Sus scrofa: one gene and its partner. The protein of the gene in region 1 purifies or fractionates together with the protein of each later gene. This does not show direct contact. Links are inferred from orthologs where the notes say so. Each region holds a gene or a part of one and is shown on either strand. Other genes may lie near its edges.

Region 1 (3,847 bases):
AGTCGCCAGAGACAACAGAAAGAGCAACGTGACAGCAATTTATAGGGGTTCGAGCACCCAGCAACGTTATGCTTGAGGGAGGGAAGTGTCCCAGGCAGAGGAAACTAGGCAAAGACCCACATTAGAGAAGGAGAGGGATGCTAGTGGTGGGAGAGAGGCAGTAGGCTGGGAAGGGAGGATGGGAGGACTTTGGACAGAGAAATGGCCCCACGCTGTGGTTTTTTTGTTTTGTTTTTAAAGCCCCCTCCTTGCACCCCAGTGCCTACCACTGGTGCGGTAAGCGGGATCCGAAGGCCTAGAGATACCGTGGAGACCCAGCCCCTACTGACGCCTTTAAGTATCAAGATGCAACAACAGGACTACCTTCACGGGGACCTTTATATTAGTAGGTCAGGACCCACTCCTTCGGGGTGGCCAGGACTCACGGGACTATCTGCGAAGGACACTGGCTCTGCCTTTGGGCTGCAGGCAGAACGCTACTTTGGGAAAGTAGCACAGCCGGCAGCACTTGGGCTTGAGTGGATAAAGGGAGTGGAGGGCTAGGCGAGAGAAGCTAAGGCTGGGGTTCTAGGGAGGGTGCGGAGGTCGGGAGGCATGAGCTTGCAGGGTTGCAGAAGCCCACGGAACTGGCAGAAAGGGCGATGGACTCGCCAGTGCTTTAGGCCACCAGGGGGCTCCGCGCTTCTGCTCGGAGACCGACACACTCCCGGGGCGGGGCTGCGGCGGGCGCGCGCGCGCACGCGCCGTATGTCACGGGGCAAGGCGAGCGCGGCGAGGCGCTCCTGGCCTGGCGTCCTGAATCCACAGACCTCGCCATCTCTCTTGCCCCGGCCCGCCCCGGCCCAGCCTGGCCCGTCCCCATGTACCGCGCGCTGTACGCGTTCCGCTCGGCGGAGCCCAACGCGCTGGCGTTCGCCGCGGGCGAGACCTTCCTGGTGCTGGAGCGCAGCAGCGCGCACTGGTGGCTGGCGGCGCGGGCGCGCAGTGGCGAGACGGGCTACGTGCCGCCCGCCTACCTGCGCCGCCTGCAGGTGAGTGTGCCCCTCCCTGGCCCGACCTCTGCAGCCCCTAGGTCAGCTCCAGAACAGCCTCACAAGGCTGACCCGACACCCCAGGTCCGTTGGGACCTCCAACAGATAATGGAGTTTGAGAAACTGACCCTGAGACCACCCCCGCCACAAGGACTGGGGCTCTAAGAACCCGCACCCCCACAGAAGACCATGCCCTTGACAGCCAACTCTGAGGAGTCCAGACCCACCAAAGCCTAAATCTAGTACTAAGACTCCTTGGGATCGCGGACCCATCGGGACCCAACATCTGAACCCCCATCCAAATAGAATTCAAGAGTCAGTCCTGAGATTCCAGCAACACCAAATTCTGACCGGTTCCACACATCACTGAGACCCCAGACCTAATCAGCCCCTTCCTGGGATCCTCAGGATCCCACAGGCTTGCTTCTCATCCCTCAGCTTCCACCACGGAGACCTGGGAAACCCTGGACACTTCCTGTTTCCAGCCATCTCCATACCCTCACCCCACCCCAACTTGGACCCAGAAGCCTCATCCCCTAAATAACCCCCAAGCCCCTAGACCTCATGTCTTTGACTACCCTGTACTCTCTCATTTCCTAAACCCTTCCTAAGACACATTTGCTAACCCACTTTGAGCCAGAGATCCCAGTCCCTGCTGACACTCCCCGGCACTACTCTCTCTACCTTCTTTCACAAGCCTCAGGCCCTGACTTTTCAGACTTCCTTTCTCAGAAAGTGAGGGGCTCCATCTCTCCTTATCCCCACTCTGGGTGGGGGCTTCTCCCATTGCAAGGAAGTGAGACCTCTCCAGGGCTTCCCTTGGTCTGGCTGTAGCCCCATTTCCTTCCAGTAAAGGCTGCAGTCCCAGTTCCTGTTTCCCCAAGAATAGTCCTGGTGTGGGGGCTGGGGTGCATTGTCTCCAGCTGGTCTATTCTGATCACAGGGGAAGGAGGGCCTGGAGCCTCTAGGCCTGCCCTGTGCCAGACACCTCCGCCCCATCCTAGTCCCTAGTCTTTAGGAGACATCCTATCCCAGCCCAGTTCAGGACAGAAATAACAGGATAAATTTGGAGATGCCATCTGGTCTTGCCAGAGGGGATGGGCCCTGGACCCTTGGCCTCCTGGTATCTAGGAGTGTCTGGGGTGAGAGGGGGAGCCCTGGACACTAAGGCTGGTGAGTCTGGAATGAGCATGTCAGACTAGCCTCTCAGGGGCTGGGGGCTTGTTGGAGAACTGAGGGAAGTCCTGCGTCTTCCCCAAGGGCCTCTGAGACCCCTCCCCAACCTGGGCCACTGGGGCTGGGTGTTTGGGGCAGGCAGAGAGGCTATCATATTTTCTATCCCCTGGCTTCTTGCTGCATATCTCCCTCTGTCTTGGCCTCCCTAGTCGTCTTTATATCTCTGTGTCATTCTGACTCTCCACCTGTGTGTATCTCTTTCTTCCTCCGACTCTTTGCTTTCTCTCCGCATCTCAGTTTCTTCCCATGTTATCTCCATCTGCTTCTCCCCGCACCCCATCTTTCTTGCTTTCTATGTGTAGCCTGTCATTCTCTTTCTGTCCCCCTTTCCGTCTTCTGTCTCCTACACTGTGGCACTCCCCATGCTACCTGGAGGGCTTTGTTGACCTCTGAGTCCATCTGTCTGTTCCCATCAGAGAAATTTCACAAACCCACTCTGGAGTGCTATCACTTTAGTTCTGAGGTTCCAATGCCTGACGGACCATGTGTGCCAGGGGCAGGGAGGGGTAGGGGTAGCTGGTCCCACAGCTGTCACCCTCTTTTCCCCACCCCATGCCAGCCAGGACCTAGATTGGACCCTGAGTTACTGTGGATGGCAACACAGAATCTGGGCCAGGGGCCGGGGGCCAGGTCCCGTGCTCATGTCTGTCTTTTGCCACAAACACAGAACCATTGCTTCCCAGGGTGGGTCTGGAAGATTCCTAGAACAGTTTGAGGTGATGAGGGCTAGCAGCTGGGTGGGAAGAGGAGATCCCTTTGGCCCATCCTCAGCTACCAGGGCCTGCAGAAGACTCTCTGAGGACAGGGCTGTTCTGGAATGTGACCTTGATTTTGTGAAAGATCAGCAAGATCTAAAGTGATTTGTTAAATAGTTCCAAGCACTAGAGGCTCCTGGCTTGGCATCTCCACCAGGGATCTGAGCCAAGCCTGGGGATAGACTGTGTACTCATGACCTCAAACTAGGGGTCCCTGGGCTGTTTTTGCTCTAGACTCCGGGTTTTCAGACACATCTTAGCTAAGAGCCTCACTGTGAGGTAAAATCCTGAGTAGGCCCCAAGTATATAAAGCAGCACTCACCCTGTGGCCCAGCTCCCTGAGTTTGTGAACCCCATTTCATATTCTAGTTCATCTTACTATGTTCACCTAGCATCCTGGGCTTTAGCTGTAGTGGTCTTCTGTCTGCCCCAGGCTCCATCCTGGGCTGGTTCTGGGCTCAGTATCCTCACTTGGCCCCCAGGCCTAACTGCCCATCCCTGCTCCCACAGGGCCTGGAGCAAGATGTCCTCCAAGCCATTGACCGGGCCATTGAGGCTGTGCACAATGCAGCCATGCGGGATGGTGGCAAGTACAGCCTGGAGCAGCGCGGAGTTCTCCAGTGAGTGAGGCAGGGGGTGGAGCATGACAGAGGTAGGGGAGCTGGGCTAGGGTGGGCAGCATCCCACAGGGAGCATATGAGGACCCAAGGAATTGTAACTCCTCCAGTAATCCCTGTCCCTCCCTTAGGAAGCTGATCCACCACCGGAAAGAGACCCTGTCCCGCAGAGGCCCCTCAGCCCCCAGCCCTGCAGCTATGACCTCAT
Region 2 (3,915 bases), on another chromosome or scaffold:
AAATTGATTAAATGATGAAAGTACACTTACCTGCCGAACAGTTGAAAACTGTGCCACCTGTTGTTGTTGCCACTGAAGTGTAGGGGAATATCCTTCAGGCGCAGGTTGGCATCCTGAAAGCTAGAGATCAGTTCATAAATGTCAGAATCAATGTTAGTGTTATAACTAGAATCTCATGCTTCTGCAAAGTAAAAGCAGAATCAAGACGAAAAATGAATAATAAAGCAAATAAGACTACACAAGAAATAAATTTCTATAAATTTTTTTTCAGATGTAAAAAAGGGAATTCTCTTTACTATTTATGTCTGAGACATAAGACATTAGGAAAAGACCCCTTATATGATCACTTTAGTAAGAGCAATATGGAATGGCTTATAGTTTATATATTTATGTATATATTATATGTATTAAGAAATCCAAGAGTTCCAGTCGTGGCTCAGTGGTTAATGAACCTGACGAGCATCCATGAGCTTGTGGGTTTGATCCCTGGCCTTGCACAGTGGGTTAAGGATCCAGCATTGCCGTGAGCTGTGGTGTAGGTTGGCAACTACAGCTCTGATTGGACCCCTAGCCTCCCCCAACACCCTCTTTTATCTACTAGTCCATCAATAACATATCTACTAAAGAGCTTAAAATTATGTCTGAGCTAATAAAAGTAGGAATACTACTTTCTACTGTGGCTGTGGCAAAGGCTGGCAACTACAGCTCCGATTGGACCCCTAGCCTGGGAACCTCTATATGCTGCGGGTGCAGCCCTAAAACAGACAAAAAAAAAAAAAAAAAAAAAAAAACAAATCATACGAGCCCTGAAGATATAATCTAGCCCTACTTTTCTATAACAGCAAAACAGTCTGAAACAAAAAGAGAGATATATTCCAAAAAAAGAATCTTGGTATGAGTAGAATGTACTCAAGTAATTTAAGACTTTTGACTTTACAAGGTCTACTTCTGTTTCCCAAAATAGCACATAGGTGATAAATGATCACATATTGCCTTGAAATAAAACTTAGTATGGTCTTTTTTTTTTTTTTTTTTTTTTTTTTGTCTTTTTAGGCCTGCATCCATGGCATATGGAAGGTCCCATGTTAGGGGTCAAACTGGAGCTGTAGCTGCTGGCCTACCCCACAGGCACAGCAATGCTGAATCCAAGCCACATATGTGACATAGACCACAACTCACAGCAATGCCAGATCCTTTAACCCACTGAGCTAGGTCAGGGATTGAACCCATGACCTCCTAGTCAGGTCTGTTACCACTGAGCCACAATGGGAACTCCTAGTATGGTCATTTTTTAAAAGCCAGATATATAAGGTATCATCTTCCAGCAACTAAAAACTTCTGAAAAGGAATTACATGAAAACTATAGTGTCTGAATTAAAATCTCCTGATTATAAACATGAGATAAAGGAATTACTTAGAACATAAAAGGAAAAGGAATTATTACAATTTAAAAACAAATTGAATCCTCTCCTTCCACTGTGGGTTAAATAGCACCTCCTTAAGGAGACCTTCTGCTGCTAATCCCTGTTACTTATTGGTCATTATGTTAACTTTCTTCACAGCAAGAGTCAAAATACGCAATTAAATTGTTTGCTTTTCTTCTTTCTCAGGAGAATGTAAACTCTACAAGGGTAGGGACATATTTTTTGTTTCATCCTCTGTTGTATTTCCAGTGTCTAGCACAACAGAGTTGCTTTGTAAAAAGTGTGCTGGATAAACAAATGAAAAGGTTTACAGTGGCAAAATACCTAGAAAAGTGTAAGATATTTTGATTTCAAATTTTTAAAAAACAAAAGCCAGTCAAATTCAGAACATGCAAACTACATTAAAGTTAAATATCAGCCCAATAATAATTATGAAGAAGTGCAAAAAGATACCTTAAAAATAAAGGATAGCGTAAGTAACTTATTTAAAGCCTCCTTTAGGATTTGATCATCTTCTTAAAGTATTATGAGCAAATCTCCATGAATGCTAGGGTTACCAAAAGCCTCTATGGAAGCAGTAAATGGAATCTGTCCTTTTAGGGGACAAAGTACAAGCAAATGTCTAATTTACTAACTTACTACAGAGTAGTCAAATCTTAACTGATACTGCCTGATACTATCTGATACTATACTAAGAGCCTTGGTCTTTTAATTTGTAGTTGGGAGTGGGAAATCCCCTGACGGGTAATAAAACTCACAGAAACATTTACACTTTGCTTCCTTTTCAACTTCTTTGGGTCAATTTGAGCTACCACAACATCTGGACATTGAGCTGCTTCGATCCTACAAACAAATAATAAATGCAAGAAACGTGATTACTGTTGTTCATGCGCATTAAAACAAGCGATCCACTTCTACAGTTCATTACAAAATCAGAAAAAAAAAGTTCAGAATTGCAATTGAGGTACTAAACGATATATTTCTGAAATTATCTGGACTGAAAGCAAAGAAATTTAAGTTCACGTTATCTTCTCACGAGTAATCACGTTTAGCAAAATTAAGTTCATAGATGCAATGAAGGGATCTTGATCCGGTCCTAAACTGGAGACGGGATCAGAGACAGGGCTTTATCAAATTTGGTGGTGGGGCGAGGCACTGGGCGCTGTGCGCAGGGAGAACCACCAGCCCACCGCACAGGGTCTAATCACTCACTGGACCCGCCTCAGGTATTCCTGAGGAGTCCTCGGAGGTACGCTGGGATCGAAACCTTCTGTCAAGTCGCAGGGCTCCACTGGCAACAGCTGGGGCATCAACTCTTCCACCGCAGCCTCTGCAGGTACCCACGCCATAGTTTTCAATCCGGCCCGTCCTGCCCGGCGCATGCGCCAAGTCTAGGTCACAGCGCAGGCGCACAAGTGGGCGGGCGCCTTTGGCGCGGAGATGGGCAAGAGGCTGGGTTTAGGGGGCGAAGCTGCGCATGAGCTAACTCGCTGGTTGTCCTAAGGTTAAGGCTCGGGTGGAATAATGAAGACCAGGAATTTAGTTCCTGGTACTAGTGGTTCTGAAGTGTTTAAGGGGGGTTCCTTCTTTACTCTCCTAAGTAAATACTGAAGATTATTTTATGCATCCACAGTAGTGAGGGAACTTTAAATGTTTTTAAATTAATGAGCAGATTACTGTAATTATCACTTGTTGAGCTCTAAATTCTTAAGTCTCTGGTAGACACATCACATGCATTTCTTCTTTCTTTTCTTGGCTAGGCCTGTGGCATGCTCCCCTGCCAGGGATTGAACAAGCGCCACAGATGTGACCCAAGCCGCTGCAGTGACAACGTAGGAGTTTTAACCAGCTGCCCCACAGGGGAACTCTTCCATGGAATAGAAGCAATTGCTGTTTGAACAAAAGCTAGCAGTTTTAGTGACAAGTCTTGTCAGCATTTAAAGAAGAAAAGACAGGCATGAAATCAACCGTGTTGTAATTTTAAATGGCCATCAGCACCTTGACCTGGTATGTGCTACTTAAACTCTTATGCTCACGTTCATTTGTTATTTACAGGGATTGGACCAAATTATCATTAAGGTCTATTTGAGTTTGGAATTCTATTAACTCTAATGTGTAATTTATTAATTAGCTTTATTAACTATACCTGATATTATTGTAGTCTTAGGGCATGCAGAGTAGAACATATATGATGCTGAATATTACTTTTTCTAGTGAGTAGTTCAAAAATAGTTGGCCAGTGCTTTATAATGTCACCATCTGAACAAATGGAAGAGAATCCACGTTAGAAAAAATAAGTGCCTCGTTTATAGAGTAAACAAAAAAGAAAAAGTAGAGGTGAAACCGCCATCTAGTGGTGACCATGTAAAATTCCCAGAAATTTGTGTTACCATATTTTACCTACTGCTGGAATCTCCAATTTGGAAATCTCTGTGGGTTCAAAAGTAGGAAGGAAAATACTGGCTGTTACACATTAACAAGTGATTAATTA

The links.
Region 2: the proteins of NCKIPSD (region 1) and GEMIN2 purify together in Homo sapiens (co-immunoprecipitation; 3 studies listed by BioGRID and IntAct, counting the BioPlex papers as one, with this or other methods). This does not show direct contact. The link is inferred for Sus scrofa from reciprocal best matches to the Homo sapiens genes NCKIPSD and GEMIN2.

What each region holds. Positions count from the first base shown.
Region 1 is NC_010455.5:31,374,573-31,378,419, reverse strand, and holds the start of NCKIPSD (NCK-interacting protein with SH3 domain), read left to right. Parts: upstream 1-735; 5' UTR 736-860; coding exon 861-1,031; intron 1,032-3,532; coding exon 3,533-3,642; intron 3,643-3,770; coding exon 3,771-3,847. UniProt on the Homo sapiens protein: Has an important role in stress fiber formation induced by active diaphanous protein homolog 1 (DRF1). Induces microspike formation, in vivo. In vitro, stimulates N-WASP-induced ARP2/3 complex activation in the absence of CDC42.
Region 2 is NC_010443.5:169,675,058-169,678,972, reverse strand, and holds the start of GEMIN2 (gem-associated protein 2), read right to left. Parts: upstream 2,822-3,915; 5' UTR 2,807-2,821; coding exon 2,637-2,806; intron 2,268-2,636; coding exon 2,183-2,267; intron 121-2,182; coding exon 31-120; intron 1-30. UniProt on the Homo sapiens protein: The SMN complex catalyzes the assembly of small nuclear ribonucleoproteins (snRNPs), the building blocks of the spliceosome, and thereby plays an important role in the splicing of cellular pre-mRNAs.